5 linked regions of the Coturnix japonica genome follow. The protein of the gene in region 4 purifies or fractionates together with the protein of the main gene of each other region. This does not show direct contact. Links are inferred from orthologs where the notes say so. Each region holds a gene or a part of one and is shown on either strand. Other genes may lie near its edges.

Region 1 (5,382 bases), on a different chromosome or scaffold from region 4:
AAAATAGTCACTCCACACAACGTGAAGGCTCTTTAAAGTCCTAAAGTGATCGGGTCAGGGGAACAGAAGGGGAGACGTATCAAACGTGAAGACTAAGAGTAGATAAATTAAGTCACATATCTTAATTTACAAAAATAAACACTAATCAAGCATTATTTCATAATAGAGCAACCTTAAAGAACTGCCACAGTCTAACAACCCTTCTCTGCTACACCCTCTGCAGACTGTATTTGAGACAGTGCAGGTCAGCCGTGGAGCTGCATTCAGTATCAAACGGATGCGAATGTCTCTGATACCAGCCAACAGCTGAAAAGACACTTGGAGAAAAACCTGAAGCCAGAATTTCTTCCCAGCTGGCAGTGCCAAAACACACTGCGGTACAATAGATGTCGCTGCTGCTAAGTCACCGGCTTGCAAGCTACAGCAGAAATGCAAAAAGCTGTTATGTAAGCATGGGTAACGTTTAGATCACAGCAGGTGTCATTTGGGCTTGAGATCACATTAAGCTCCCTGTAAATCGGCCCATCCACTGGGAATCTTAAGTTCCATTGTAGACCTTTTGTTGCATGTACCTTCGAGTCTATGGAGGTTTTACTTAATATTGTTTTTAAAACAGCCGCATTTGATAGCGCTTAATGCTCCATCCCGCCTGCATTGTTGCAACTGAAAATGAAACTTGTTTAAATGGTAACTGATTGCAGAGTACTTCAACTCATTGTGCGAGGTAAGTAAGTTAGTAAACAGCCCCGATACCGGTTGTACATCTGCAGCCTTCTGTGACTGAAAGCTTTTACTGTACTTCAAGTGTGCGTTCCAAGTAAAGACTATAGTAACACGCTGAACAAAATGTGGTAACTCGCTTAGCAGCAGCCTTAGCGCTCTGAACAATGAGCAGAAGCGGTCTGACAAAAGCCAGCTGTCAATCATTGCGGCGCCTCTTTCATGGCAAACACATCTTACGAAGCACTTCTGGTGTACAGGCAAACCGTGCAAGCTACTTCTTGTTCTAGAAGCGCTAATTCATTTTCACCTCTGCAGCTTTTTCACTAATAAAAGTGAGCAGTCTTGTCAGTGTGATGTATTGAGAGCTCCCAGTGAAAATACACAAAACTCCTTGACTAAATAGTACTTAAAGAAAGAAAATAATAGTTCCAGGTGCACAGTCTGCTAACTTTGCCATAGAATTTCTCACCTCTTTCTCCCAATTATCTTTCCCTCAGTACGGTCTGAGTGCTTTCAAATTGCTGTTTCTAGCTTTGGGCAGCCAATCCCCAAAGAAACAGATGAGACTACGGCAGCCTGCCACCCACAGAGAACTGAGCTTCATTTTCTCTCATAAGGTAAAAACAACTGCAAAAGTATTGCTTATGTTTGAGCAACTGGCCTTACATTGCAACAGGGCAGCCTGCGGCTAACAGGAGCCCGTCGGCTTTCTGCTGGCTCTTTCCATTAAAGAGGCTCGTTGCTAAATGCTGAATTTCACAAACCTTAGTAACTAAAAGGACAAATGAACTATGGAGCATGCACAAAGCGTAGTCAGTCGCTATCTTTTAGCCAGATATCAGACTACTTTAAATCTTGCATTTATTGTATAATAGGTGCACTGAAGTTTTGTCCGAGCAATAAATTATATAAATTAAGTGAAATTATGTATTTTATTTGTAAAATGACTTCATATAAAAATAATTCCCAATTCCATAAGTGCACTAACCCATTTCCTACTGAAGTTAGACCTATGGCAATTAATCTGTCACTACGGTATTCAGAGAGTACCGACTGGAGTTTATTTTACACGGTATAAAAGCCACTAAACCAAAGTTCAAGATGCATAAGCCTGCTGGTGCCCTATTCAGTAACAAGTGCTTGACAAGTGACCCCTGATATTCCGTTTGTAAAGTGTGCAATTAAAGCTGGTTGGCTTCCACAGTCTTCAGCTCTTCCTCAGGCTCAAATCACTGCTTGTTACTAACCCTGAAAGGGATGTACTCTCTGATGCATCTTCTTTCTTAAGGTTCAGGAATGATTCTCTGGTTATCTGAAGAATTTCTCTCAAGCCTTTGTTTTCTTGCTATAACCGAGGGATAAAAAAAGGCATTTAATAGAACTCCAGAAAGTCAGATAACTACATGAAGGATCTCTCCTTCCCTTTACTACAAACACACTTACAAAAGACATGCAACAAACTAGCAGTACCAGTGAATGATCCAGTAACTCAAGAAAGAGACAGTAACTCAGTAACTGTGATAAGGTTAACACCCTTGCTAAGGGCTGAGTTCTAGAAATAACTGAAGCACTGGGAACAACAGAACCAAAGGCATTTTACACACAACGAACTGTACCAGAAGGTAAGTGCACAAAGCGGCTTTTGTTTTACGTGCCGGATTACCACAGAGTTACAAACAGAAAGGATCCCTTTACTGAAGAGTTTACTGACTTTAAAAACTGTTGTTAGGGTTGGTAGCAGCATTGGAAATAATTAAACATTGCACCCAGTTCCTCACTCGATAATAACGTGTGACTTGGTTCCACAACGTCTTATAAAAAAGCAGCCAAATTGGTAGCGCACTGGGAAAACCTTTGTCAAAGGAAATGATTTAATACCGAGGGAGACTGGAAAACCAAGCAGGTGACTAAAGCAAAAGTCTAAATCAGCATCTCAGGATTTGTGGCAATTTCAGCAAATCTACTGCAAGAATACAGAACATGATTTGCTCCCGAGTTCTGGAAAGATGGCACCGCAGCAGAGACCAATCTCATGTCAGCTACAGCCCCCTCAGCTCCTTGATACAACATCAAACTAATTCTCCTAAGTAAACTAATTACCTGAAACAGTCCAGCTCCATGAAGATAGCACGCAGCTATCTTAATGCTGGCTTTGAGTACTGGCAGCAGATGCACGGGAAGCTGGCTATTCCTAAACCCTAAAGTACTGAAAGACTGTAAAAGAAAGGTAGAACTGTAGGGTCAGAACAAGATATTTTGTTTAGAGACGTGGAGCACAATTTAAAGCTTGTGTGAACGTATTTGGGTAGCGGTAACCTGCTCCCCCAACTCCCCAAATAAGTGGCAGAGAGTTTCCCTGTTCTGACAGCCAGACTCTGATCTGTGTGTAATCGCAACTTCTTGTCTCACAGTCAGTTCTGAGCATTTCTCACTGGGAGGGTAGAGGAAGACAGATCCCTATTTGTGCCATCACTGGCACAAATCTCAAAAAAAGATCTCATACTTACTTCAAGCTGAATGATACGTTCCTGCTCTTTACAGCCATGCTTGTCATCAATTTCAATGGCTTTCCTCATTACCGCTGCCATTTCTGTAATTTGGTCCACGTGCACTTGTAGTTCCTACACCATATAGATAAAACAGTACTTTTAGTAATAAGCTTTCTTCATTACTAAAAATAAAGTATTACATGTGCATTTAAACTGCCGTGTCATGCAATAAAAATGCAAACACAGACCTAAACAAAGAAGCGCTAACTCTACAGCATGAGCAGCCACTGCAGTTCTGTTCATTTAAATCAATCTGGTTTGCCACACGGTTCACTTTTAGGAGTTTTACAGAAGAAAACATGCCCAAATGACTGTGCCTTTGACAGCTTCCATGTCTCCCAGATGGCTGTTAGACAGCCACGTGTTTGCTCTGGCAAGAACTTCCTGTACTGCAGGAGCTGATGTATGCGTCCTTCTGGATGTGCAGAAAGGCCAACTTCATCTGAGCACAGCAGCATATTGGACCTGTTTGAAAGCTGGTCGCAAGTCTGGTACAGACAGTACTCGCCCGTGAGTGGGCATTTCTCTGTTAGAAAGAGCAGGCAAAGCTGTCATCCTGACTATGACATAAGTTGGAAAACTCTGAGTCCTTTTTGCGGTACCGCTGCTCAAATCCACTTCCCATTTCAGCTTATCTGGGATCTGGTCTCTAGAGGTCCTTGTCCTTGTTGAACTCTAGAAACACCCTCGTGTCCTGCCTGACCTCCACTAATTAATACCAATAGGGTACTTCCCTATTATAAATAATTACTGCATCTCACTGAAATATTCATGGAGGAGAAAAAAACAACAAGTGCAGTAGTTGTCTTTGCTCATCTTGTTCCACTGCCAGGAAAGTGATGATAGGAGACATTAACACAGGCCTAACAGCCTTTGCAGGGAAGTTAGATTTTGAATAATCTCCCCTGTTTGCAAATAAGTGATATCTTACTTGGCCCTTGTTGGCTTGGGTGATGTTTTACTTTCTCACTGGCCAGCATATCAGCAAGAAGCACTTATAGAGCCTCTGCTTATTTCTCTTGAAAAATGTAGATGAAGAGCCTAAGTGATTTGGCATTCACTGCTGTAGAGTTAAGCCAAATACTTTAATGTATTTACAGACGCTTTTAATTTGTCCAGTCTTTCAACCTGTTTCTTATTCCAAATCCACTAACAGACCTGCCTCTCCATGCCTGGCCTGACCTTTGGGCAAAATTCACAACATTTATTAAATATTACTAGAAAAAGAACAGTAGGACTGAAATCTGCTATGTACAGTGAGGAACAGCACAGATTAAAGTTAAATACCATCTTTAAATGACAAACTTGATTAGAAGTCCACACATCTAGCAGATCATCACCTTGCCCTTGAACTCTCAGAAACAATTAAACTATCGTAAAAAAAAAATTCCTCTGCTTGGAATCACAGTCTGACCAACCATTAAAAATGAACATCAGCCCTTCCCATCCTTCTCTGCTGTTTCAGTTGCCAAAGCTGTGGTTTAGCTGTTTACTCATTAAGTGTTTGTTTGCAGCATGGAAGTGAGGGAAAGGAGTGGGGAGGAGAAAAAGAGCTTCCTGTAAATAAGCTTGTAAATTCTTCTCAATTTCCAGTGAGAGTGGGTGCATTGAGCATTTTTCCTTCACTGAAAGTTGTTTTTCAAGAGTTTCTTAAAAGAATAAATATGGCTTGAAAGGAAGCTGTGATCAATGGTAAAAGAATGAGCAGGCTAGGATGTATCCTGGAGAAGGACTGGGAAGGAATTAGTGGCTTTTAGATACACAGCTGTCTCATTTGGCAAGCTTATGTGGCATCTCGATCAATATGATCTAGAGCCTGTTACAAGGTCACTAACAGGAGATCAGACAGCATGCTTAGGCTCATTACAAGCAATTCTCATGCACACAAGAATGCTAAGAGAAACTGCTGTTCTGTTAAAGGCAGGTGCTTGTTGAGCTGCAGAAATTAATGAGTTAAATAATATTTTGCAAATAGCCACTGAAGTTGACAGTTGCCACTTAAGAAAGCAGTGATTACTGGTAACATTGAGATTAGCTCGTTAGGTATTATGGAATTTGTTGTTAATGTGCTAAGAACTATTTAAATACTGCTTCAAGATTGTTCAGTCTT
Region 2 (5,382 bases), on a different chromosome or scaffold from region 4:
TTGATTTTTATTGTTATTTAGAGGCAAACTCTTCATTTTTTATAGTTAATTAAGCAAATAAGCTTTCTTACAGGCCCTAGCATCGCAGCATTGCGCAAAAGGTAGCCCATTTGCTAAAGACAAACTGAGACCAAGTTAGAAGAGGCACGTTCAGAACCAGTTAGAATGAAATTAATTGTTAGAATTAAAGGAATCAGACAGATGTTAAATGATTAGTTGATCGTTCAGCTCGTCAGTATCAACAGAATGGCGTATTAAATGAAGGGTTTGCTTCAGGTAAAGAAATACCTGTGAGCATTTCACCATGCACTATTTTATACAGAAATGGCACAAACAGGTGAGAGGGACAAACATACATCGACTGAACAGTAGTGCTTGTACCTTTCGCTACCACAATGGGCCGTAACACCAATACAGGAAAGCCAGGATTAGGCCGATGAATACGGCTGGGACGGGTTGTAATATGGAAGGCTAAAGAAGGGAAGGGATATTAAAAATCACTTTGTGCTATAAATCAATCAGGTAAAGATGATTTAGAGAGGGGAAAATAAGTCAGTGAGTTTTGTTTTAATTGAAATGTATTAAAGACATCTAATAATACAGCATTATCTAATCTGGTATACAAAGTTAGTACACCATTCTACTCAAATGAACAGGAACGTTCAAAAATAAAGGGAAGTGAGGAGAAAATACTCTAAGAAACTTCATCTCAACTTGGAATTTAGTACTTAAAAACAGTACAAATTATTTGCTTGTATTTTATATCTATTTGCTTTTAGATTTTCTGTGCAAGTAATTGGAAATCCCAACTGGATTTCGTAAGGCAGAAAGACTCATACCAGAGATTGAATTTTTCAGCTGCTTCTTCATTCCGCCTTTCCTATTTTCCATCATCAGCCTCCAAGAAAAACAATCTCTTTCCTCCATTAATGAATCAATAACAACTATGTCCACAGGCAAACCCAGTAGTTCAGACATTTGTGAGGTTATAACACAATGTACAATCAGCACTAAGTTACTATAAAGCAGAGAAGTAGATTTCTGTTAGAGATACCACAAAGATCAGCATCTCTGGTAGAGCATCAGACTTGTGAGCAAATGCAGTTCTGAAGATTGATCCAATGATGCAGCTGGGCCAAACTACCAGCAAGCAAGACTGAAGGGGTTCGTTTAGCTCATGGCCTCATTACAAGAATCTGCACATTTTCACAGTTATTTTCAATTAACTGGAAACTACTTTGCTTCACAATCTGGAGAGAAAGCCTCTATCCTCAAAACAATACACTAGAAGCAAAAATGGACCTAATTCCTTTTTAAGCTGTCCCGGGAAGACATCTGCTTTCTCTGTATCTTAGCCTGTATGTTTCGTGCACATACACACAGAGGTTAAGTTCAAATCATGCTAAATATTTTCCTAAGAACTCCTCTGTGCTGAACTCACCTTGATTTTGTTCAGCCAAATAAATTCATGTTTGGAGACTTCCTAAAACATTGGGATCCATAAATAAAGTCTCATTCTGTTTTGAATTTGAGGAAGTCAATCACAGAACTTCCAATGGGGTTAAGAACACAGAAATCTCAGAATTACCTTAGAAGGTATTCTAATATTTGCCATTCAACTCTTGCCATTACAATAATTCAGATTTGTTGTATTCAATGTAAATATTAGACTGACAAATCACATGCAACTATTAATTTCCATGCAGTACTTTATATATATATATATATACGTATTTTGTCATTGTTGCCACAAATCAGTGCCATCTTCCCAAAGAAAGCACAAGGGCAGAAATAATCACAGCAGTGTTCAATAAAGCACCAAAAGCTTCAGTCAACTCCGTGACAGCAGCTCATGTTCTCAAACTGTTCACATAAACAAATCCGTCATGTAAAGCGCATCAGGAAATAATCAGTGACTACAAACATGCAAGCACAAGCAATACACCACACTGCTAAGCAGTTCACAGCACAAAACTGCAGTTCTTTTTAGTTTGGTTGGTTTTTTTGGGTTTTTTGAGAGTAATAAGCTTTGTCTTTCTGAAAGGGAAAGCATAAGAAAAACTTAATATTTAAATTATGTTACAAAAGGAACAGAGAAGCCTTCTCTCTTCTAGTATTTATCAGTTCACCAGATAAGCTGATGGAGTTTCTTTCAAATGATTAAATCTTACCCCTCATGAGCTTATTAAAATACATTTTTTACATCTCCCTATTGCAGAGGAATGCACATAATTAGATGCTTCATCAAAACCATGCGTTCAGTATTAGAATACGTAGATATGCAAACTCAGAGACAGACTGGCCACAAAAATGAATAAATCCCACAGAGGGAAGCTGCCTTCTTGAGGACACTGTCCTCACAAATAAAGTAACAGATAAGGTTTCCAGCAAATAGGGGATAACAGAACTTTAAAAATTTGACCTTGGAAGTCAGCCCAGTATTCATGATGCTTCAAATATTCCACAAAACAGACATATTTTACATTACTGATTGTGAGTAATGCTTGCTTGAATAGCAAGCTCGTCCTTCAAGTCCTTATATGGCTGGATGCTCTTCATCACAGCCTAACCTCCAGGCTTCAACTCTTGTACCTCTTCTTTAGATATGTTTTGGCAACTGCTGTCGTTCCTTATTTCATTTTGACAATCACCTCAAATTCTTCCTAAAAATTCCCTTACCTTGCAAGCTTTCATCTGCTTCTCCAATTCCCTTCACAGTGTTTTTCTTTCCTCAACTTTCTCCCCTTTTTCATGAATCAACTTAACAATGAGATTAATGTTTTAACAGAGCAGAAAAATCTCACATCTGCAGTTACTTTAGTATCTCTTCTATCAGAAAGTGTTTTGGTTTTTTTTTTTTTGTACTTCTGCCTATTTCAGTAATTCAACATTATTTAGGCATTACAGAAAATTCTAAAGCAGAAATAGGTTCCAAGAGAATATTAACATCCTATTCATGAAAATACAGCCAACTGTAGAATGGCTTTGAGTTCTTCACATCTTTGTTAACTCTACTGTGTCAGAGGTTTGTTTTCAGTAAGTGTGCTATGGTGTAAGTATGTATTCTCCTCCCCTAGGACACAGATATCTTCAGAGAATGGTACTTGTAAACCTTTAATTCTGTGCTGTCTGTGGGGGGGTTCATAGCAGCAGAACAGGAAGACAATAAACCAGCCATCCCAGTAGTAAAAAGGCTGTAATTACTTTATAATATCTGTTGCACTCTTAACTTTTGAAGGATTTCAGAAGTTTCAGTATTAAAAAAAATAAACCAAAAATGCTGTCTCTAGCTGTAAACTCAATACTAACAACACAGCCTCTCCAACTATAACAGAAAATAATTACTTCCATGAGTGAATAGAAAGGATGGTTCAGTTGCGTGTGTAAAACATGAGCTGACCAGGAATAATCAATGTTAAGAAGCGTAAGCAAGACTGAGGAGGGAACACATGTCGTAATAATCACTAATGAACTAAAAGCACCTTGAAGAAAGTCACTTAACTCATTTGGATCCAGGTTTCTCAGATTTCACCCATGTGTCAGTCCCTGAAACTGGGAGGTTTTGCCTAGTACTTAATGGGTAGTTAAGTTTGATTTTTTTTTTCCTAGACAATAGTAAGGCTGTTTTAAAAACCACCATACAACTGTAAATCTAATTTGCATATATATTTGTACCCATGAAATGACCTACACATTCAATAGGTAGTACCAGAAAGGAATTTTGCATGCAATATGGTACACAGCTCCTTTTTAAGTCCAGCCTTTTCTGATAAATACTTAGATGTTCCCTTAATCAAGAACACTGTCAGTGTCATAACCAGACTTCCCCAAATATTTTGTACAGACTTACGTTGTTTCCTTTTTCTTGTAGCAGCTTCAAGTTTTCTTTACACTGTTTAAGCTCTTCTGCGATTGACTGCTTTTCTTGTTCAGCCATCTCATACTTCGCCTTCAGTTCTGAGAGCACTGTCTGTGTTCTTTCATACTAAATGCAAAGAGAAAGAAGGCTACAGACCTCTGAACACCCAAAAAACATGCTCACATTTGCTCAGTGCACAGTTTCCTTTCTGTCTACACTGCCTAGTATAACTTGTCTTGGATTAATACTCTCTCTTTATATTAGCAAGGTAGAAAAGCCTTACCCTATGCTCAATTTTATCTACTGAAAACAAGTTTACTTGTATTTGTCATTAACAGGGATTAGAAGGCACAAAACCAATGTCCTTCAGTACTGGCATTTACCATAACTTAAAAGGATAAGCATCTTTACAAACTCATCTGACTACAAACACAAAGATTAGCAAGACTGCTCCTTTCAAATTCCAAAAATGGTAAGGAATGCGACAGGGATGACTTCATGACAAAACAAAGACCAAGATTGCGAAACACAAACTAATAACAGTGACTGGCGGAAACTTCACTCAAGCTGCCCCTAAAAATAAACAAGTAATTGATAGAGACAACAGCCTTCTTCCAGACATGATTTTCAGAACTCAGGCTCCATAAACTAGCTTTTCCTTATGCACTTGTTAATCATCTGTAAAAGCCTGATGGTCCATTCAGAAGAAAGGACAAACAAACCTTGAAAGAATGTGCAGGTCTGCTGTGAAATCGCATGTAAAACTAAATAGAAACATCGTATTGACACAAAAAACTTCCATTTTGATTCATAATGCCTAACAAGACTTAATACAGTGATGATCATTGGGTTCACCTGACTGAACAGCTTGTAAGTACTTTCACTAAGGTAAGGCATGAAAGTAAACTTCAGAAAGTTCCCAGCATGTATACACAAGCTGTTTTATTTTACATCTTCCTTCCAGATTTGACTCCCAATTCATAAATTGTTGGCTAACACAAATGTACTTGCAATTAAAGGAAGAAAAAGATTAATTACTGAAAATGTTGTAGTTTTTACTTGTTTTATGTTGAAATGAAAGGAAAGTCACAGGGCACTGGATTCACTCAAAACAGAAACATTCCATGTTACCTCTTTCTGAACATCCTTTGCTTGACTCTCAGCTTCACTGAGCTGGCTTTTTAGACTAGCTGCGTCCTGTTGATGTTTTTCTCTCAAAGATCCCATCTGATCTTCAAGTTCTTTTCGAGACATTTCAAGAACACTTATATTGCTGGTTAGAGCTAAACTCTGCTTCTGAGAGCTGAAAAACAAAATTCAGTTGGTTCCTCTTCAAATTTAAACAGAAATGATTTGTTTTAAACCAGTTTTCATTTTCTGAGCTTCATATTATTTTTACTTAATATGGAGAAATCATCTTGGAGCAAACATAGAATCAAAAGATCAACACTGATTTCCTATGCAAAGTACTGATACAAAAGATAGGCCATAGACTTGCTTTTAAATACATGTGCACCTATTTT
Region 3 (5,975 bases), on a different chromosome or scaffold from region 4:
CTCTGTTTGTACGAAGTGAACACACACACACACACTAAATGATAAACTTGAATTTGTTTCAAAGCATCATTGACAATCTAATGTTTTCTATGTGTGCTTTTATTTGGGATGGCTTTTCCAGAAAGCAGCTCTCTCCCCCTTGGCTCACAGCCACCCCTGTGCTCCAGTAGGCAGTCCTGTCCCCTTTCTCCATGGCGAGCATGGGGCCAGGATTCAGTGTGACTCCTCTGCCTTTGGAGGTGAGCTGCTTCCCCAGCAGCTCTCTGCATGCTTATCTGTGCCTAAAAAGGACACCTGTGACCACTCCATCCCCAGGTAGGTGAGCACTGTGGTGCTGCTCCAGCTCCTCCACAACCAAAAATGGAGTCTGTGGCAAGAATTGGCTTTTTACCAGAAGGGAGGGAACTACTGAAAGGGAGCTGGAATTCCAACAGGCACCTCTGTCCTGTGGTGGGAGAGCCCATGCATGCAGCCCTGCTGGCAGAGGAGTCAGTGCTGGTTCTGGAGCTTCATGGGCAGACCTTTCCCATCCCAAGCCCCCTACACAAGCTGCTTTTTGGACAAAACAAAATCTGAATATATTTTATATCTATTTGAAAACGAAGTCTGATATTTACCCCTGTTACCAACTGAATTTGCGTATTGTTGTTTGCCACAATATTTGTTCTGTCTTAAAATAAATTTGCTTACTTGTGTAGTCTGAACTGTCTGCTCTAATTCTTGTTGCCTGATGCACGGTGCAGTTGTTTCAGGGCTCAGTCACTCAGAGCTGGCTTTACAGTGTCTCCCACGTGGGAGCTTCCTGTGAGAGAGACATAGAAATGTGTCCGTCTGTGAGGGGCAATAATTTTAACCAAGACCCAGAATATAAATCTGCCTCTCGCATCTTCTCCCCAGGGCTTTTCAACCTTATGTCCTCTTTCACCAGTGTTTCATAATTACACCCTTCAAAATGGTAAGTGCACAAGAGAAGAATCGCTGCATTTCAGTATACTTAACAGTTAAGAGATAAGACTGTTATTAATGTTTCCTGGAGGCTAAGTAATTTCTGATGTTGGTGTTTTGCATTTTAGAAAGAAATGATTTATTGTGATGAACTCACTGAAAACAGCAGCCAAAAGCTGTGGACATCTAATGATGTTCACAGAAGGAGACCTAGCAAAATCTTTTCTTCCTCCTCAGAAAGGCAGACAACACCGTCTTGGTTTTTCAGTACCATGCATTAACAAGGCATTTGCATTGGTTACTAGAGATGGTACAAAGGAAGGCAGCACTCACAAGTGGTTGCAAGCCTTTTTTCCCATGCATCTTCAGGTACAGAATCCAGTCTGTGAGTAGATGAAATTAAAGGAACAACAGTGCCCATTTCTGCCTCCCTGTAGCCTCAAATGGGAGGCAGCAAGTTCTGCTCAGTTCCTGGGAGTGCCAAGCATCCTCACACCACCCTGAATAATGTATATTTGTTTCCTCAGATGATGTATTGTGCCCCATCAAGTGCAACCACCCAATACTGCCTCTCCCACAAGTGTGCTGGGACTCAGCAGAGCCGCTGCAGAAGAGGTGTGCAAGACTGTGTCAGGTGCTAGGGGTACCAGGGAGAGCCCATGCAGCATGGGGGGTGAATGTGAGGGCTGTGCTGTGCACGGGTGATATGCAGGGAGGAGATATAGGAGCGCTGGAGTGAATACCACACCAGCAGGACCCTGTGGAGGGTTGGGTGACTTCTCTTAGGCACATACCTCTTTCCAGCACGTCAGCATCAACCTCAGCACTGCGTGGAGCCATCCGGTCCAGGTGGAAAACATCTTCCAGGTGCATAACACAGTGGGGCTGAAGTTACACCGCCCTGGTGTCCTCACCAAGGACCAGGTGGAAGCATTACAAATGCTTTATGGATCTGGTTGCTTAAGTCTTAATTTACGAGACTGAGAAGTAGAATTCCCTCAGGGCTCCCTTTTGGTGAGATAGTGGGAGAGTCCCAGTTGGTTTCAGCGGTCCAGGGGCTCTCTTGGCTGAGTCTTCCAAGCTGTTCACAGCTCACAAAAGGCATCATTTATGAGTACAGAATGGCAGAGGACTTTTAGGAGCAACTAAACAAACTGTATTTGTGTAAATACATGACTCCCTTTGACTCTGCTGAACGCACTTTCAGTTGCACAGCTCGCTATAGGCGCACAGCGCTCTAACCCCTTTGACTCCCAGCTCCACCTGAGGGACGGACCGTTACGCCCGTCGCGAGGCGCCGCGCACGCGCAGTGCCGGAGCGGAAGCGCGGGCGGGGGCGGCGGCAGACGGAAGTGCGCAGGGCCGGGGGCCGCCATTCCGGGAGCGCAGCAGGCCGCGCGCCCCCGCCGTTGCGCCGGCAGCCTCAGGCGGGACCGGGCCTCGCGGGCGCCCAGTGCGGGGGGGGCCCGGCCCCGGCCGGCAGCGCCGCCATGGAGGAGAAGAGCTTCGCCAAGGAGCTGGACCAGTGGATCGAGCAGCTGAACGAGTGCCGGCAGCTGAGCGAGAGCCAGGTCCGCAGCCTCTGCGAGAAGGTGAGTGAGGCGGGGAGAGGCGGCCCGGCGCTGGGGCCGGCCGTGCCGAAGATGGCCGTGCGAGGCCTGGAGCTGCGGCCGGCTGGAGGGGGCTCGGCTGTGCCTCGGGGCCGGCCGTCGTGGCCCGCCCGGCGCTGCCCGCATGGCGGATCACTGCGAGAAGCGCCGGCTGTAGAACGGCGCCGAGCCGGAGCGCGGCCGTCGGCCCGCAGCCGTGGGGAAAGCCCTGACGTGTGATGAGGGGCAGCGGGTGGGCTGTGCTGCCGCCTTAAAGACAGGCCTACGTTGTGGGGAGGGAGGCCGGGATAGAGCAGGAAGTGGTTGGAGAGGTAATATAGTTTGCCGCAAAGAGCCTTTTCTCCTGTCAGGAGACAGGTTTGGGTGGCTTTTGTCTGAGAAGTTAAATGCCTGTGTGCGAGCATAACCATCCATACTGCAGTGTATAGCTGAGCTAGGATCTGCTTGAATGTACGAGCTGTGACAAGGCCAAGGAGCTGAGGTGGGCTCAGCACAGCAGCTCAGATTGTGTTCTCTATGTACCTCAGTGACAGCAGGGACTATTGCCGTGCACTGGATCAGCTGGTAACTGCTCTGCCTCATGTGCCTGACAGCTAGTTCATTGGTCCCTGTACTGTTTGTATTGCTGATAGCGAGCTAGGTTTTGTGTTGTCATTACCTGTGTCTCACTGAGCTCTTGCAGAAGCAGGTGATCTGTTGTGGTGCCTGTTCCTGGCATTCTGGCCAGTGGCAGCTTTCAGAAGATGGAACTATTTCTTTTTTCTTTTCCCCCCAAGTCTTCAGTAGGCCACCGCAGCAATAGGTTTGAACAGTAGAGAGAGCCTGCACCACCGCCTTATAGCATGCTAGGAGTGCCCTTCAAAAGGTAGGAGCTGAGTGTCACAGGCAGATATTTGTTAGAAGTCAAAGCCGTGGCTGCCTGACATACACTTTTACTAGTAGTCCTGGATTGTCTGGCTGCACACTGGCCTGTTTCTCCCATTCTGTTTTTTTACCCACGCTGTAACTGCCCATTTGCTTTATGGCTTTTTCTGCACTCACCAAGCTGGGACAATTGTGAGAAGGGCTGGTGCTGCAGCAGGGAGCAATTGAAGAGCCTTGAGATGTAGATGTCTTCAAAAGAGTGAGCTTCTTGTAGCTGTGCTGTCGTTTGAAGTCCAGCTGATGAGCCTGAAAGAATTGATTTGCAGTTCAGAACAGCAAGAGTTCTGAACTGCTGCACCAACCACCAAGCTGCTAAATAATAATAATAATAATAATAATAATAATAATAATAATAATAATAATAATAATAGTAATAATTCCCTTCTTAATTAACAGCAAAGCCAAAGAAGGAGCTGTGGCTGCTGTGCTTTCAGAAGCTGGATGGTATGATCAGTAGGTTGTATTGCAGTCAGTGGCTGCAAAGCAGGGAGAGGTGCCAAGTGGAGAGCACAGCTGCAGGTGAAAGGAATGTCAGTCCTCCAAAATGACGGGTAGGATGTGAACCATGCGAACCTGTGAGGCACAGCATGTTTGCTCGGAAATAAATGTAAGCTATTGGAGCATCTGGTTTTCAGGTAGCGTTGGTAACTGATCTGCAGCGCTGTCAGAAAGCTTGGGTTGCTTCCCCAAGATAATACTTGGAGAAACCCTTAACAACCTTTCTGGTCATATGCAATAGTAACTCTTGCTTTAGTTTTTAAATTAGTAATAGTATTAGGTGGTTAAAATGGGGGGGCGGGGGGGAAATAAAATAAAAAAAATACTCTGAAAGTTTTCTATGAAAGCATGGGATACAAAACCAAATTGAGTCCCAGACTTACCTGTGTGTATCGTTCTTGGTTTCACTTGCTGGCCTCACAGACAGTGAGGAGGGAAGGACTGGAGATAGTTGGCTCACACAGGGGATAGCAGCTGTTCTTCTCTCAGAAAGCTTTTGATAATTGCACCTGTAGAATCACTGTAAATTGATCTGCCTGGTTATGACATAACTGGCAGCTAATCCATCTTAGAGTCTTTGTAGAATTAATCAAGATGTCATCTGGTGATAACATTAAAACACTTCCTGTTCTGCTGCTCTTAAAATGAAAACTAAAGTCATGCTGATATTTAGTATGTAATAGAAAAACAAACAATTATTGTCACTACTGGAGCTTCCAGGCACCAGAAATGTTTCCAGCCCATCAGGGAAATGAACATTAGGCTTCTTGCATCTCTTACTGTTTAACTTTATTATTGTAGATCATCTGAGTAGATGAAGGTTGTTAAAAGCCTTTTTTTTTTTTCCCCCATTAAATAGGCAGTGAGAAAATCTTTAGAGCTCAGTCTTGGATGCTGTCTGCACTTAATCAGAAGTGCAGTGGCACGTTTTGTATCCGTGGTTGTGCTGCCTTTGAATTTGGGTACTGACAGAAGGGTAGCACTTAATGCATGGAACTCCTTTTGATCCCGCGTGGGTACTGCTGCCCCTCATTACCTGCACTTTGAGCAGCTACAGCCAGGCTGAAAGACTGAGGAGGTGGATTCATTTTAACAGGAACTGCTCTCAAGGTTGGACGTGAAAAGCTTTAAATGCTGCTTGATTTGAGATTCAAGTCAAGTGAGCAGATTAATTCTGCTGATGAGGGAGTTGAGGCTTTAGTTATAATAAAGACAGTTTTTCATTAAGATAATAAGATACGGCATAAAGAAAATCCAGTTAAAGGCTGTTTCTTAAACACAGGCAAATGACTATCTATAGCCATCTATTTCTTTGTAGCTTCCTTATTTCCCCCTTCCCCCCCATCTTCGGTCTTCATATGTCTAAGAGGGGGGTAGAGACTTGTTGTTGTGAGCAGCTGGAGAGCTTTGTGTTGTGAAGTGGTGGGAGGAAAAGGATTCTAACCACTAATGAACACTTGCATTTCTTGTTATTGAAAAGTAATTGTGCACTGATTCCTCAAGCTGAGCAGAAGGAGCCAGTTGGTGCTTTAGGGAGTACTGCTGTTGCTAGCATGTACGTATGGCAGTTCTGCCCTCTGAGATTATTTTGCCCAGGAATAATTTTAATAGAATGAGCTCGTAGGCTCCTCTGCAGTAATTGGTGAAGTTAGTATGAGCAACAAAGCCAAGTTACATCCTGGATGCCATTCAAACCATGACACATTCTGAGAGTGTTATGCTGGATCACAGTCAGCAGTATTTTATCTCTTCAGTGATAAAGTTTATCTTAGCATATACTGGCCTGGATGGCTCTAGGAGTGTACATCCATATTGGCATCAGTGCTGCTGTTGGGGCTGTGGGCTGCCCCCTGCTATTGAAGGGCAGGGCAGCTCCAGCTCTCCAGCTCCCCTCTCATTTGGGGAGAATCCAGCTGGCTCTTGTCAAACGAAGCTGCTGAGGCACCTCCGAGATTTTAGGATCCTCAGCCTGTTGATGCTGTAGTTTAATTAATTGCA
Region 4 (5,891 bases):
CTGTTTAATCAGGGCCTGGAGGGAACAGGGGAGGAAGGTGGGTTCTGCCCCATGCAGGTGAATATACAGAGTACAGACTGCTCCAAGGTCACATCCTGAGCCCATCTGTCCCCTGGTTCACACCCCTGTCCCCAGCTCTGCCCTCACCTTGTGCTCCCTCCGGCCTCGCTTCTGCTGCTGCTCAATGAGGTCGGAGGCTGATGCAGGTGGGGAGGCAGCTCTCATGTTGCGGATGACTTTAATGCTGTCCTCTGGGAGTGGGGGGAGGCCCAGGACCTCCCTCTTCTCTGCCTTCATGCTCTGGAGCTCCTCAAAGCCCCCCAGGGTGCACTGAAAGGGACAGAACGACACCACGAAGGTGCCAGGAATAAGAGAACGGAGCAATGGCAGGCGGCTGTGAGTGGGCAGAATTTCCTCTAATAAGGGTAGAGCTGTAAGACACACACACTGGCCCAGCCCACGTCCTCTCCCTTACCAGCACAGTCTTCCAGAGCAAAAGCAGCACCTTCTTCATAGGGAAATGTGGAGCGTGGCCACTGCAGAACTTGGTCACCATCCCAAAGAGCATGACAGAGAAAGGCTCGTTGTTGTACAGAGGGGCTCCTGGAACCAACCAGCAGCACAGTCAGGCTCTGCTCACCCTGCTGTGCCTCCCACCCCCACCTCTGAGCTCCCCATCTCACCCCATGCAGCTCCTCTGCTCCCTGCCCTCACCTGCTCCAAGGTTCAGCAATAGCAGAGACCAACCCTGAGGCCCAGAATCAACACCCACCTCCCCCACTTCCCCATCAGCCCTTGGAACCTCCATCCAACCCTCCTGTACAAGCGTGGGCTCCTCACCCAGCTCTGCTCGGAAGGTCTGTCTCATGCTCTTCCATTCAGCCTTATCCCCCTCAGCCTCCTGCCGGACCGTCTCCACGATCAGATACATGATGTTCAGCAGCACCCTGCCCAGAACACAAGATTGGGCTGAAAACCAGAGGCTGGGATGAGCTACATTGCAATGCTCTTAGGGAAGGTTTGGTCTGCCATAACCACAGCCCACCTCCACCCATTCACTCTCCATAACAGGGAGCTGGGGCTCTTATACTGGGGTATAAAGCCAACACAGCAGCTCCTCGTGCAGAGCTCCATACCTCAGGTCTGTGCTGTCAGCCAGGGAGATGGCAGGTTTCCTCACTGCACTGCTGCACGCTGCACTGTTACTGCAGGGAGAGAACAGCTTCAGTGCTGCTCCTGAGGCATTTAACTCTACTATAAGCAATCCAAGTGTCAGAATCAAAGCCTGGAGTGAGCACTAATGCAACAAGTCCCCCATCAAGCAGAGGGGGAACGCAGCTGTTGCCAGACAGCACGGCTGTTAGAGATCTGCTGCGTGCATCCTGTGTGTCTACACATCCACACGCAGCAATGCCAGCCATTCGAGTAGGAATCAGAACAGGAATAGAACAGAAACAGGGCAGGGAACAACACAGCTGCCACCAGCTGGAGGAATCTCAGCACATAGCAGAGCCCCATAGCAGCTCCTGGAGCATCTCAGCCCATAGCAGAGCCCCATAGCGGCTCCTGGAGCATCTCAGCCCATAGCAGAGCCCCATAGCGGCTCCTGAAGCATCTCAGCCCATAGCAGAGCCCCATAGCGGCTCCTGGAGCATCTCAGCCCATAGCAGAGCCCCACAGCAGCTCCTGGAGGCATCTCAGCCCATAGCAGAGCCCCATAGCAGCTCCTGGAGATCTTCAGCCCATAGCAGAAGCCCCAAGCGGCTTTTTTTTTTTTTTTTGCCACCTTTTGGGAAACATCTCAGCCCATAGCAGAGCCCCATAGCGGCTCCTGGAGCATCTCAGCCCATAGCAGAGCCCCATAGCGGCTCCTGGAGCAGCTGCTCCCACCACTCACTCGATCTCCATGTTCAGCAGCTCCACCAGCGCGTTGAAGGTCCCCACTTCCAGCAGCAGGAAGATGTTGTACCTCATCCAGGCCTGGACATCAGCCTCGGAGCTGCACTCCCCAAACGTGCCTGTAACGACACCCTGAGTGGATGCAAAGCCCTTCTGTGCAGCCAATGTGCTTTGCAGATGGACAGAACGTCACATCTTTAATGCTAAAGCAGGAGGTGAAAAGCAAAGGACAGAGCTGCCCTCTTGCAGGGGCAGTTTAGACCACTCTCCTTCCTCTGACAACTGCTTCAGCTCCACTTGTATGAGATGAAATACAAAGCAAAGGCCTCCAGCTCAACGCCAGCACGTACCTTGTGCAACATACAGGATTGCTCTGGCCACCTTCAGCCTCTTCTCCCTGGCTGTGACCTCCAGCCCATCCAGCAGCCTCATGGCGTGGGTGCGATGCTGCTTCTTGTCCAGCTCCGTCCATTTCTTGTCCCGCACTGCAAAGCCAAAGCATTGATGTATATGGGATGGGGCTGAAGGGCTGCTTGACTTCACAACCTGATACACCCAGCCCTATTGGTGCCCCCAGCTCCAAGGGGGGGCTCTCACCGTGGATCCTGAAATCCTCCTCGAAGCATTTGCGGTTGAGCAGGAACTCGGGGCCTTCGGTGTAACTGTACAGCTCTGCCAAAGAGCACAGAGAACCGTCACCCTGCGACCCACGGGTTAATGGCTGCTCAATGTTAATGGCAAAGGAACAGCTGCTATGAAGTGACACAGCCCTTCTAATGTGAATGAGGTGTTTAAAGGCAACAAAGCGACGCTGGAGGGGACAGAACCGCTTCGGTCACGATCAGGGCATAGAACCCAATGCTGATTCATTGAGCTGTGAGGACGGGCCCCTTACCGGACAGCTCCGCCGCCCATTTATCGGTGTCTGCGTATTCAAACTCCAGGTCTGGGGACTCCGAGTAGCCCTGGGGGCAAAGAACGGGGCTCAATGAGGGGCTCAGTGACACAAACGGACCCAAACGGACCCAAACGGACCCAAACGGACCCAAACGGACCCAAACGGACCCAAACGAACCCCAACACCCCCCTCATTCCTGCAGCCCCACAGCAGCACCAACGTTTCCAATCCACCCCCCGGCCGTGCTGCCGCATTGGGCCGCAGGTTCCGCCCCCTGGAGCTGTTCACTCCATACAGGGCCGCAGTGGGATCGGGACGGAACCAGGCCGGGCCCACGGCACCGGAACCGGCCGGACCAGGCCCCGCCCCTCCCGGAACCGGCCCGGCTTAGGCCCCGCCCCTCCCGTCCGGCCTTCTCCCGCCCCGCGGAGCCGGGCCCGGTTCTGTCGGTTCCGGTTCTGACCTCGGAGTCCTTCCTCGGGGGTCGGCCCAACTCTCGGCCTTTCCCCGCCGGTCCCGCCCCGCTTCGGGCCTTGTTGTTGGCCGGGAGCGGCCCCGCCACAACGCCGCCCGGCTCCATGGCTCCACACAGCGAGATCTCGCGAGGACTCACCCCTCCTTCTCGCGGGAGCGGCAGGGAGAGCCGGGGTAGAGCCGCCGCCGCCATGTTGGGAGTGGCGCCGAGCTCCGGCCGTTCTCCTGCCTCCGCCATGACACCTCCCGCCGGTCCCGCCGTTCAGACGCTCAGGCCGCGGCACCGCCCAGCGCCGCCCGCCCCCGGTGGCCACGTCCGGTGCGGCGCCTCGACCGGAGGAGAAGCTCCGCCCCATCGCCGCCATGATAGGTGTGGCGCGCGCCATGTTGGGAGAGGCACTTCCGGCCATCACGTGACGCGACGGCTGGGGGCCGCCATGTTGGAAGTGGCAGGAAGTGGGGGGGGGATGGGGACCAAAGGGGGGTCCGGAATGACCTGATGTGACCCCGGAACCAGCTCAGAGCCCAAATAGGGGGAGCAGATCCCACCAGAGGGGCCCATATAACCCACAGGGGCCCATATAACCCATAGGGGCCCACATAACCCACAGGGGGCCATATAACCCACATGGGCCCACATAACCCATAGGGGGCCATATAATCCATAGGGGCCCACATAACCCATAGGGGCCCATATAACCCATAACCCACATGGGCCCACATAATCCATAGGGGCCCATATAACTCATATGAGCCCACATAACCCATAGGGGCCATATAATCCATATGGGTCCACATAACCCACAGGGGCCCACATAACACACAGGGGCCCATATAACCCACATGGGCCCACATAACCCACAGGGGGCCATATAACCCATATGGGTTATAACTAATCAGGTCAGATCTATGGGGCCCACATAACCCATATGGGCCCAAAGCCCCCATTACAGTGAATGAGGATCCAACCCCAACTACAGGCCTTGGAGGGGCTGGGGGGGGGGCTTGGAGGACCCCCACCCCCCTATGTGCCCCCATAGGCTGTAAGCACTCACCCACCGACCTGCCATGTTGGTCGTTTTATGCTCCTACTCGTTTTTTTTTGGTTTTTTGTTTTTTTTTTCATTAGACTTTTAATGATTTATTGCTCGTCTGCAAGGATTAATCATATTGCATTCGTTAAAAATCAGTCATATACAAAATAAACCTCTCTCTCTTTCTCTCTCTCTCTCCCTCCCAGCCTGACATTGCCTCCCCCCCCCTCCCAATACATGGCTTAGATGGAGCTGCAGCCCCCAGCTTGGGGTTAGAAAGACCCCCCCTGCCCACAGCCTATGAGGGCTGGGGGGACACAGCCCCATAAGAGACAGAGCAGAGGGCACAGGAAGGTGGGCAAAGCTGCCCCATCCATCCTCATATCATCCCCCCCATTGAGGGACAAGCAGCACCGCAGCCACATACAGAGCCATGGGAGCAGCCCCCATCCCTGGTTGCAGCTCTCTGGGTGGGGGTCCCATGTCAGCTCTGTAACAGGCAGTGGGGGAAGAAGCGAATCCCTCCCTGCCTTTGCTAAGGGAAGAAAGAGGCATTGGGAGAAAGGGGGGAAAAAAAGCCAGGAGGAACCTCACTGGGTTGGTTGCAAGGGATTTCCCCCAACAATAAGCTGCAAGAGATGGAGGTGAAGAGAAACATTGGTCACCAGGATGGGAAAGGGAAGGAGGAGGAGATGAGAGTGGCTTGGAATGCTGAGGGATGCTGCTGAGGAAGCTCAGCTCGGGGAATGGGCAGCAAGGGGAGCCCAGGGTGCAGAGGGCTCAATGGGGTGTGGGGAAGGCTCAGTCTGTGCATCAGCCTTGGAATGGAAGTGAAATGCCCTTCAGAAATAAAAGCAGACAGTCTATAACAGCACCCGCCGTGTCCTGCCGGGACGGAGCCTGAACTCCACAGCTGGACACATCACTCCTTCAACGTCAACATAAAGAGGAACACAAAGAAACAGGTCAAAAGAGCAGTTTTCAACTCAAATTAAGGTGCAGTTTGGCTAAAAAAAAAACCAACAAAACAACCCAAAAACCAACAAACACACACAAAAAAAAGAAGAAATAACCTATGAGAGAGATGAGGATGACGTTGGGTTAAGTGACCCCCATCTGAATTCAGATTAGCACCCTGAAACAGTGAGCTCCCCACAGCCGGCCAGCCATCAAATAGGGGACCCCAGCCATCAAATAGGGGACCCCAGCCATCAAATAGGGAGCATCAATAGCCCCAGCCCAAATAGACCCCAGCCATCAAATAGGGCCCCCCCGCCATTAAATAGGGGACCACAGCCATTAAATAGGAGACCCCAGCCATCAAATTGGGGACCACAGCCATCAAATAGGGGACCCCAGCCATTAAAAAGGGGACCCCGGCCATCAATAGGGGACCCAGTCACAACATTGGGGACCCAGCATCAAAATAGGGGCCCCAGCCATTAAATTAGGGAACCCCAGCCATCAAATAGGGGACCCAGAGCCATCAAATAGGGCCCCCCGCCATATACATAGGGGACCAAGCCATTAAATAGGAGACCCAGCCATCAAATTGGGGACCACAGCCATCAAATAGGGGACCCCAG
Region 5 (5,904 bases), about 2.2 Mb from region 4:
GGAAGTCAACGTCGCCATCTGAGAGGACAAGTGAGGAGCCGTGTGCTGCCTCCTGAACAATGCACGGCAGCACTGACACGGCTTGGAGATTAAAAAGAACTAGAAGAATAAACTTAGGGCCGTTTTTGTGCATTTTAACAACAACCCTGAAAAGAGACAAAATAAGCAGAGCAGTAAAGGCAGAGGGAGCGTTATTGGAAGGACTGGGAGCTGTGTGTGTTGTAAGGCCGAGGCCCACAGCGCCGTGAAGCTCCGGGAGCGGCCGCTGTGCGCCCCGAGCTGCCCAAGATGGAGGATGGAGGCCGAGGGGCGGCGCCGACAGCGGGGGCTGCCACGGCCACAGCGTGACGGAGCGGGGCAGAGCCGGGCCCGGCCGCCTCCAGGGCGGGCAGCGAAGGGAAGGAGGCAGGAGGGGAGGAGGGAGGAGGTTGTGGAGGAGGGGCCAGGCCGCCCGCACACAAAGGGGGGCGATGGCGGCCGCTCCCCCGCACACAAAGGGACGGAGCCCGGCTCTGCAGCGGGCGGGGCCTGGCGCACAGCACGCCGGGAGCCGCGCTCCGCCGGCCCGTCCCCGCAGCCCCCGCGGCCTGTCGGGACCCGTCGGGCCCCGCAGTCCGACCCGGCACCGCCCCCGGCCGGGCCGAGGCCCCCGACCCGCCGCTCCCGTCAGGCCCCGCCCCGCTGCCCGCCGGGACCCGGCCCACACGGCGGGGCGGCTGCTGCCCGCGGGACGCCGGGAAACGTAGTGCGCCATGGGCCGCGCCATGGGCCGGCCCGAGCCCGGCGGAGCTTCAACCCGGCAGCCACAGGCCGCGGCCCGGCCCGGCCCCAGCCCCACATCCCCACACGCAGCGCTGCCGGGGGGAGGCCCCGCGCGGCTTCGCCCCACCGACAGCGCCGCGACGGGCCGCGGCCGGGCCGACAGATCGAGGGCTCCCCCCGGCTCTGAGGCCGCTCCCCTCGGGCTCCGTGTCCCTTAAGCCCCGCGGGCACCGAACCCCGCAGCGCCGGGCGCCCCCGGCCGGGCGGACTCACCCCAACAGCTCAGCGCCCCCGCTCCAGCGCCGCCATGAGCAGCACGGCACCGCACGTAGGAACTAATCCCGGCCTCTCGCGAGATCGCGGGGCGGGGCCGCGCCTGCGCCCTCACGGCCACCGGCGGCAGCACGGTGCGCATGCGCAAAAGCCAACGGCACCGCCATAGCGCGGGATCCACGTGGGACGGGGCGACGGGACAGCATTGATACAATACAGAATACAGCACAAAAATGGCTGTAAATTGCTTTATTCCATCTTAAAATAGTCTAGGAAAGAAGTCTGTACAATGCTCCTCAACAGGAGTCCCATATATCAACTAAACACCTTTATCTGCATAATCCAAATAGACTCATAACACACACAGTTGCTTTATCTATCAAAACTAAGTAAAAACAGCATCAAAAAGTAACAGTGACAATTGGGTGTCATTGAATTACATTGAAAACAGCATGAAAATGCCACTGAGAGCATCACAATATCAATATAATATATATATATATATATTATATAATATATATTATATATATAATATTATATATAATATATATTATTATAATATAATATAATATTAATGTGAGCAAATACTGAGGGTTGGGTCCTCAAAGCCAAAGCTCCACTGTGCAGGCAGAGCAAGGTATCAACTTGTTATAACATAGACTTCAATTCTTCTTCCTTCTAGCAAATACAACATCCAGGAGCTGTATTGTGTTCCCCATATCAGGCAGTTCTAAGTGACAGCTGGAATTGCCGAGGAAAGCTTATGGAAGTAACACTCGTGAGATAAACTGCCACAAAAGAGCCGGCACCAAAAGCACTTGGTTCACTTGGTTGATAATACAGAGCAGCAATACAAGCCTTTGCCATCAGGAGTGTGTGATTGCAGAGTAACACAGGGCACACATTGGGATAGATGGAACATGTGAAACACCTGAAGAACAAGTTACAGATCGTCCTTTGTTGGGTGGCTTCAGAACAGTCTCTGAAGTCAAGGTTTGGGTGTGTTGTGATCTAAGCTTCGCTGTCACGCACATCGTCCCTCCCGAGCTCAAAGGATTCCTTGCTGATGGACAATAGTTCCCGAAGCTCTTTGTTTTCGAGCTGCAAAAAGAAAAATAATAATCAGTATTTCAACTGAGATAGAGATGAGTTAATTAACAAAGATTACAGACTGTTAATTAAGTAGCCCCATTCCTTCACAGCCGAATAGAAATCTAGAACTCAAACTAATGTTTACAAGGGATGAAGCACATCACTTTAAAGGACACCTTTTACTTTGGGCTTTATCGTTAAGATGACAGAAATACAAAGAACTTAAACAGAAAATGTTCCTTGCCTCCCAACCTCACCCACCATCCCTGTTTTTTATTGTTATTAACACCTGACACACACAACCATCTATAGTCCCCAAAAGCTTGATCTGTCCTTAGCGATGTCGTGGGTTCTTACCTCCAGCTGAGCTAGTTTCTCCTGTACCTTGAAGAACTGATCATCATCCACGTGTACAGCTTTTCTCATCACTTCACCCATCTCACATATCCTGTCTATTTGTCCTTCAATTTCCTGAAAGACATGGGGAAAAAAAACAAACACCGTTAATACATTCAGGCAAAAGCAGTAATAATTTATTCCTTATGAATCCATTACTTTCATGTTATTAATTCTGGACTACTTTCCCATTTTGAATCTTAATCTTTCCCTCCCAACCACTTGTAATCCTCCCTGCTTTAAGACAGCATCACATACCTCAACACACGGCAGCTTATAGGGATTTTGGAGGCTCTTTTCCTTTTGTTACAGTTACTCAACAGTAATGATAACCACCTCTGCTGTGCTCCTCTTAAGTGAAAACAAAGCTATTAAAGCTTAACCCCAGGAATGTATCACCCAGAGCACACAGCAAGCCTTCACCTGGACAACCAAAGGCTCGTGCTGTTCAGGATGCTCTGTGATAATTTACAACCTGTGAGAAGAATGCAGGGAAAAGATCAAATACCAAAGGGACCAGAGCTTGAAAGAAGGCTCCTGGAGCAGAATGGGCCCGTGAAAGGAGACAAACGTTGCATGAAAGCAAACCAGAGAGCAAGTTCCTCATCCCCATCCCACCTTACCACAGAGTTGGCCTGATGAACTTTCAGCACTGGTTCCGCATCTTCACCTTTTCTCCCTTGCAACAGCTGCAACATCTGCTTCCTGTATTTGCTCATGATGAGCTCTAAGGCGTCCTGGTGCTCCTCCAGAGAGATCCACAGCGCTACGGGACAGGGATCGCAGCGTTACACGGCACCACGCGACCCCCCCGGTGCACCGAGAGCCGTCAGCCCCATCCCGTCCGACTCACCGCGGTTCTCCTGCCGCAGGTCGCGGATCTGCGTGTTCTCCTGGCACAGCAGCGTGTGCGGCCGCAGCCGGGAGCCGTCAGCACCATCCTCCGTTACGCTCCGACCCCGCCGGGACGCGGCCGTGGGCGCCGCCGCCGCCGCGCTGCCCTTGTCGGCCGGCCCCGCACCCGCCTCCCGCATAGCGGCCACGCGTTGGTGCAGGACGGCGGACTGATCGATGAGCGACTCGGCGGCGGTGTCGTGCTCCTTCAGCCGCTCCAACAGGGTCTTGGCGTCCGTCAGGATCTTCTCGATGGTGCAGCTCATGGTGGGCGCAGGTCGGGCCGCGCTGCTCAGTCCCGCGGCGGCCCCATGTCCCGCACAGCGCACGGACCGAACCCGCTCGGCACAACAACACCCGCACAACAGCCGCTGCCTTTTCCGGGCCGGCTCCTCGCCCCGCAGCTGCGCAGCCGTGAGCTGAGCCCGGAGCTGAGCCCGCACCGCCGCCTGCTGGAGGCCGCTGGGTGCGGGGATGGTGTTAAACGCGTGGATCCAAAGCTCCCCGCTGTCACACGGCGTGGATCTGAGAGCCGGCAATGGGAGCTGCTCTGTTTGCACAGCGCAGGTGGCCGTGACCCACGGGGGGTCCTGGTTATCTTGATTTCAAACTCCTTTAAATCCTGGGCTGACATCTTATCTGTATCCCTGTTTGTCCCTCCGACAGTAAACATCCTCTCCTCAAGTTAAAATAACAAGCTGTGCAGTGCTGACTTCGTTCTTTGTTATTTGCTCGCTGTAACCGCCCGTAGCCACCCGTGGTGATTCTGCTGCTTCGCTTCTCGTCGTGTCACGTTTTCCTTTGATACTTTCTAAGCAGTGTTTTAGCAGTGTCAGCAGTTCTGCTGCCTGCAGCCACCCTGCGGGCTTACATCTCCTTTGGGACACACTCAACAATTCAGCTGTTCGTGCCTTTCACCCTATTCTAGTTAAGGAAGTTCCGTGGTACCAAATTTACAACCTGTTGCACTTAAATCCCATCGTACAGCCCGGGGGACTCAGTGAGATCAATGCAGCACCAGCAATTCAATTCACATCAGCTGGGAAGTCAGACTGAAGCAGCAGGAGCACACACTACACCTCAGCACAAGCTGCACTTGGGTTGTATGTCTGAACCTATTCTGTTTCTTACACTTCTCCTTCCCTTTGGGCATGATTTAATGCTCACTCTTCCCTTCCTTCAGAGATATCATTCCGGCCTTTCATGCCACGTGGAGACAAGGGAGAGGCACTGCTTTATCAGGCTTCCATGTCAGGATTGTCTGAGTGTCTGAAATAAAGACACAGAATGAAAAGGAGATGAAGTCCTAATGTGTCCCATGCCCCCACTCAGGGCCGTGGCTCGCTCCCTGCCCAGCAGATCTCTTGACACAGAATCATTAGTTCCACTCCCAGAGGACAGCAGAATGAGTTCATGTGGCGCCAGGACCGACCCGATCCCAGTAGCACAGCACTCCTGTATCTAAATGCTGCTCGTGCTTCTCACCAGGACTTCTCTTATGTAGCAACAGAGCTTAAACAAAGCAGCGGATGAGCGATCTCAGGGCAGTGGTGTCTTATAATTCCTTTGGCTTATCACATCAGCGCTGTATAAACTGAAGAGAATGTATAAATTTGGCCTCTCAAGCATCTTAGTGTTTAACTTCGATTCGATTAAACACTTATGTATGTGTATAGAGTGAAAAATGGGGTTACAAGAGGTTAGTGCTTTAATGCTTTTAATAACTCTTAACCACATGACTGTATTTTGTCAAACAGAACGTGGATTTGTTCTAGCAGGAAAAAAATATATGCTAGATAGAAATATATTGAGGCTCTCCAAAACATTAGTTTTCCAAAGTATCCCGGTTGTTTAGTATTTGACTCTTTGCTTTCATCATTTAATGATTTACAGTAATGAACTGGAACATCGGTATTTTGCACTGAAATGACCAAAATAGTTGTGGAGGCATCGCTGCCCTCATGTGACAGAGCTCAGATGTTTCTGTGAGCAGTTAGCCAAGAGCAATAGACAAAGCCATTGCTTCTGTTTAATTTGTACTGCAAAACAACAACAAAGTGGCCGTAGCAACTTGTAGGCAGATCCCAGTAGCTTTTGGACTGTTCCTTTGCTGAGATTTTGCCCTTTGTTTAAGTTTTGTTTGACAAGGGCTTAATAAATGAATAGAAGAGGTGGTTTATGTTTCATTAATGAGGTTGAGAGTGGTTAATTACTGAAGTTACGTAAACAATCCAATACCAGATCAAGCCGAATGGGTCAGTTATGCAGAGAAGACCCAGCTGGAGTAGATACGATTTCCTTTAACTATTCAAACACCAAGCGAGTTACAAAGATCTAGAATCACCAGTTCAGATGAATGCAGATCTCTCCATATCTTGAAGATGAGTTCTCTCGACAGGCACCTACGTAGGGAAGGTTCCTCTGAACCTGCAGTTTCAGCACTCATCAAATTCATAGACCTACTATGAAAGGAAGACTTCCTATGTG

What was found.
Region 1: the proteins of STRIP1 (region 4) and FGFR1OP2 purify together in Homo sapiens (affinity purification with mass spectrometry; 3 studies listed by BioGRID and IntAct, with this or other methods). This does not show direct contact. The link is inferred for Coturnix japonica from reciprocal best matches to the Homo sapiens genes STRIP1 and FGFR1OP2.
Region 2: the proteins of STRIP1 (region 4) and SLMAP purify together in Homo sapiens (affinity purification with mass spectrometry; 4 studies listed by BioGRID and IntAct, with this or other methods). This does not show direct contact. The link is inferred for Coturnix japonica from reciprocal best matches to the Homo sapiens genes STRIP1 and SLMAP.
Region 3: the proteins of STRIP1 (region 4) and PPP2CB purify together in Homo sapiens (affinity purification with mass spectrometry; 6 studies listed by BioGRID and IntAct, counting the BioPlex papers as one, with this or other methods). This does not show direct contact. The link is inferred for Coturnix japonica from reciprocal best matches to the Homo sapiens genes STRIP1 and PPP2CB.
Region 5: the proteins of STRIP1 (region 4) and SIKE1 purify together in Homo sapiens (affinity purification with mass spectrometry; 3 studies listed by BioGRID and IntAct, with this or other methods). This does not show direct contact. The link is inferred for Coturnix japonica from reciprocal best matches to the Homo sapiens genes STRIP1 and SIKE1.

What each region holds. Positions count from the first base shown.
Region 1 is NC_029516.1:62,493,141-62,498,522, reverse strand, and holds part of FGFR1OP2 (FGFR1 oncogene partner 2), read right to left. Parts: intron 3,345-5,382; coding exon 3,231-3,344; intron 2,938-3,230; coding exon 2,824-2,937; intron 2,069-2,823; coding exon 1,931-2,068; 3' UTR 1-1,930. UniProt on the Homo sapiens protein: May be involved in wound healing pathway.
Region 2 is NC_029527.1:6,505,370-6,510,751, reverse strand, and holds part of SLMAP (sarcolemmal membrane-associated protein), read right to left. Parts: intron 5,163-5,382; coding exon 4,991-5,162; intron 3,986-4,990; coding exon 3,851-3,985; intron 472-3,850; coding exon of another isoform or gene 388-471; exon of another isoform or gene 382-387; intron 1-381. UniProt on the Homo sapiens protein: Associates with the striatin-interacting phosphatase and kinase (STRIPAK) core complex, forming the extended (SIKE1:SLMAP)STRIPAK complex.
Region 3 is NC_029519.1:30,568,089-30,574,063, reverse strand, and holds the start of PPP2CB (serine/threonine-protein phosphatase 2A catalytic subunit beta isoform), read left to right. Parts: upstream 1-2,297; 5' UTR 2,298-2,435; coding exon 2,436-2,537; exon of another isoform or gene 2,538-3,725; intron 3,726-4,360; exon of another isoform or gene 4,361-5,975.
Region 4 is NC_029541.1:1,697,014-1,702,904, reverse strand, and holds the start of STRIP1 (striatin-interacting protein 1), read right to left. Parts: upstream 3,405-5,891; 5' UTR 3,378-3,404; coding exon 3,261-3,377; intron 2,865-3,260; coding exon 2,795-2,864; intron 2,572-2,794; coding exon 2,497-2,571; intron 2,385-2,496; coding exon 2,250-2,384; intron 2,019-2,249; coding exon 1,898-2,018; intron 1,206-1,897; coding exon 1,137-1,205; intron 948-1,136; coding exon 841-947; intron 604-840; coding exon 476-603; intron 331-475; coding exon 148-330; intron 16-147; coding exon 1-15. UniProt on the Homo sapiens protein: Plays a role in the regulation of cell morphology and cytoskeletal organization. Required in the cortical actin filament dynamics and cell shape. Part of the striatin-interacting phosphatase and kinase (STRIPAK) complexes.
Region 5 is NC_029541.1:3,921,554-3,927,457, forward strand, and holds SIKE1 (suppressor of IKBKE 1), read right to left. Parts: upstream 3,815-5,904; 5' UTR 3,684-3,814; coding exon 3,377-3,683; intron 3,290-3,376; coding exon 3,147-3,289; intron 2,599-3,146; coding exon 2,485-2,598; intron 2,137-2,484; coding exon 2,047-2,136; 3' UTR 1,270-2,046; downstream 1-1,269.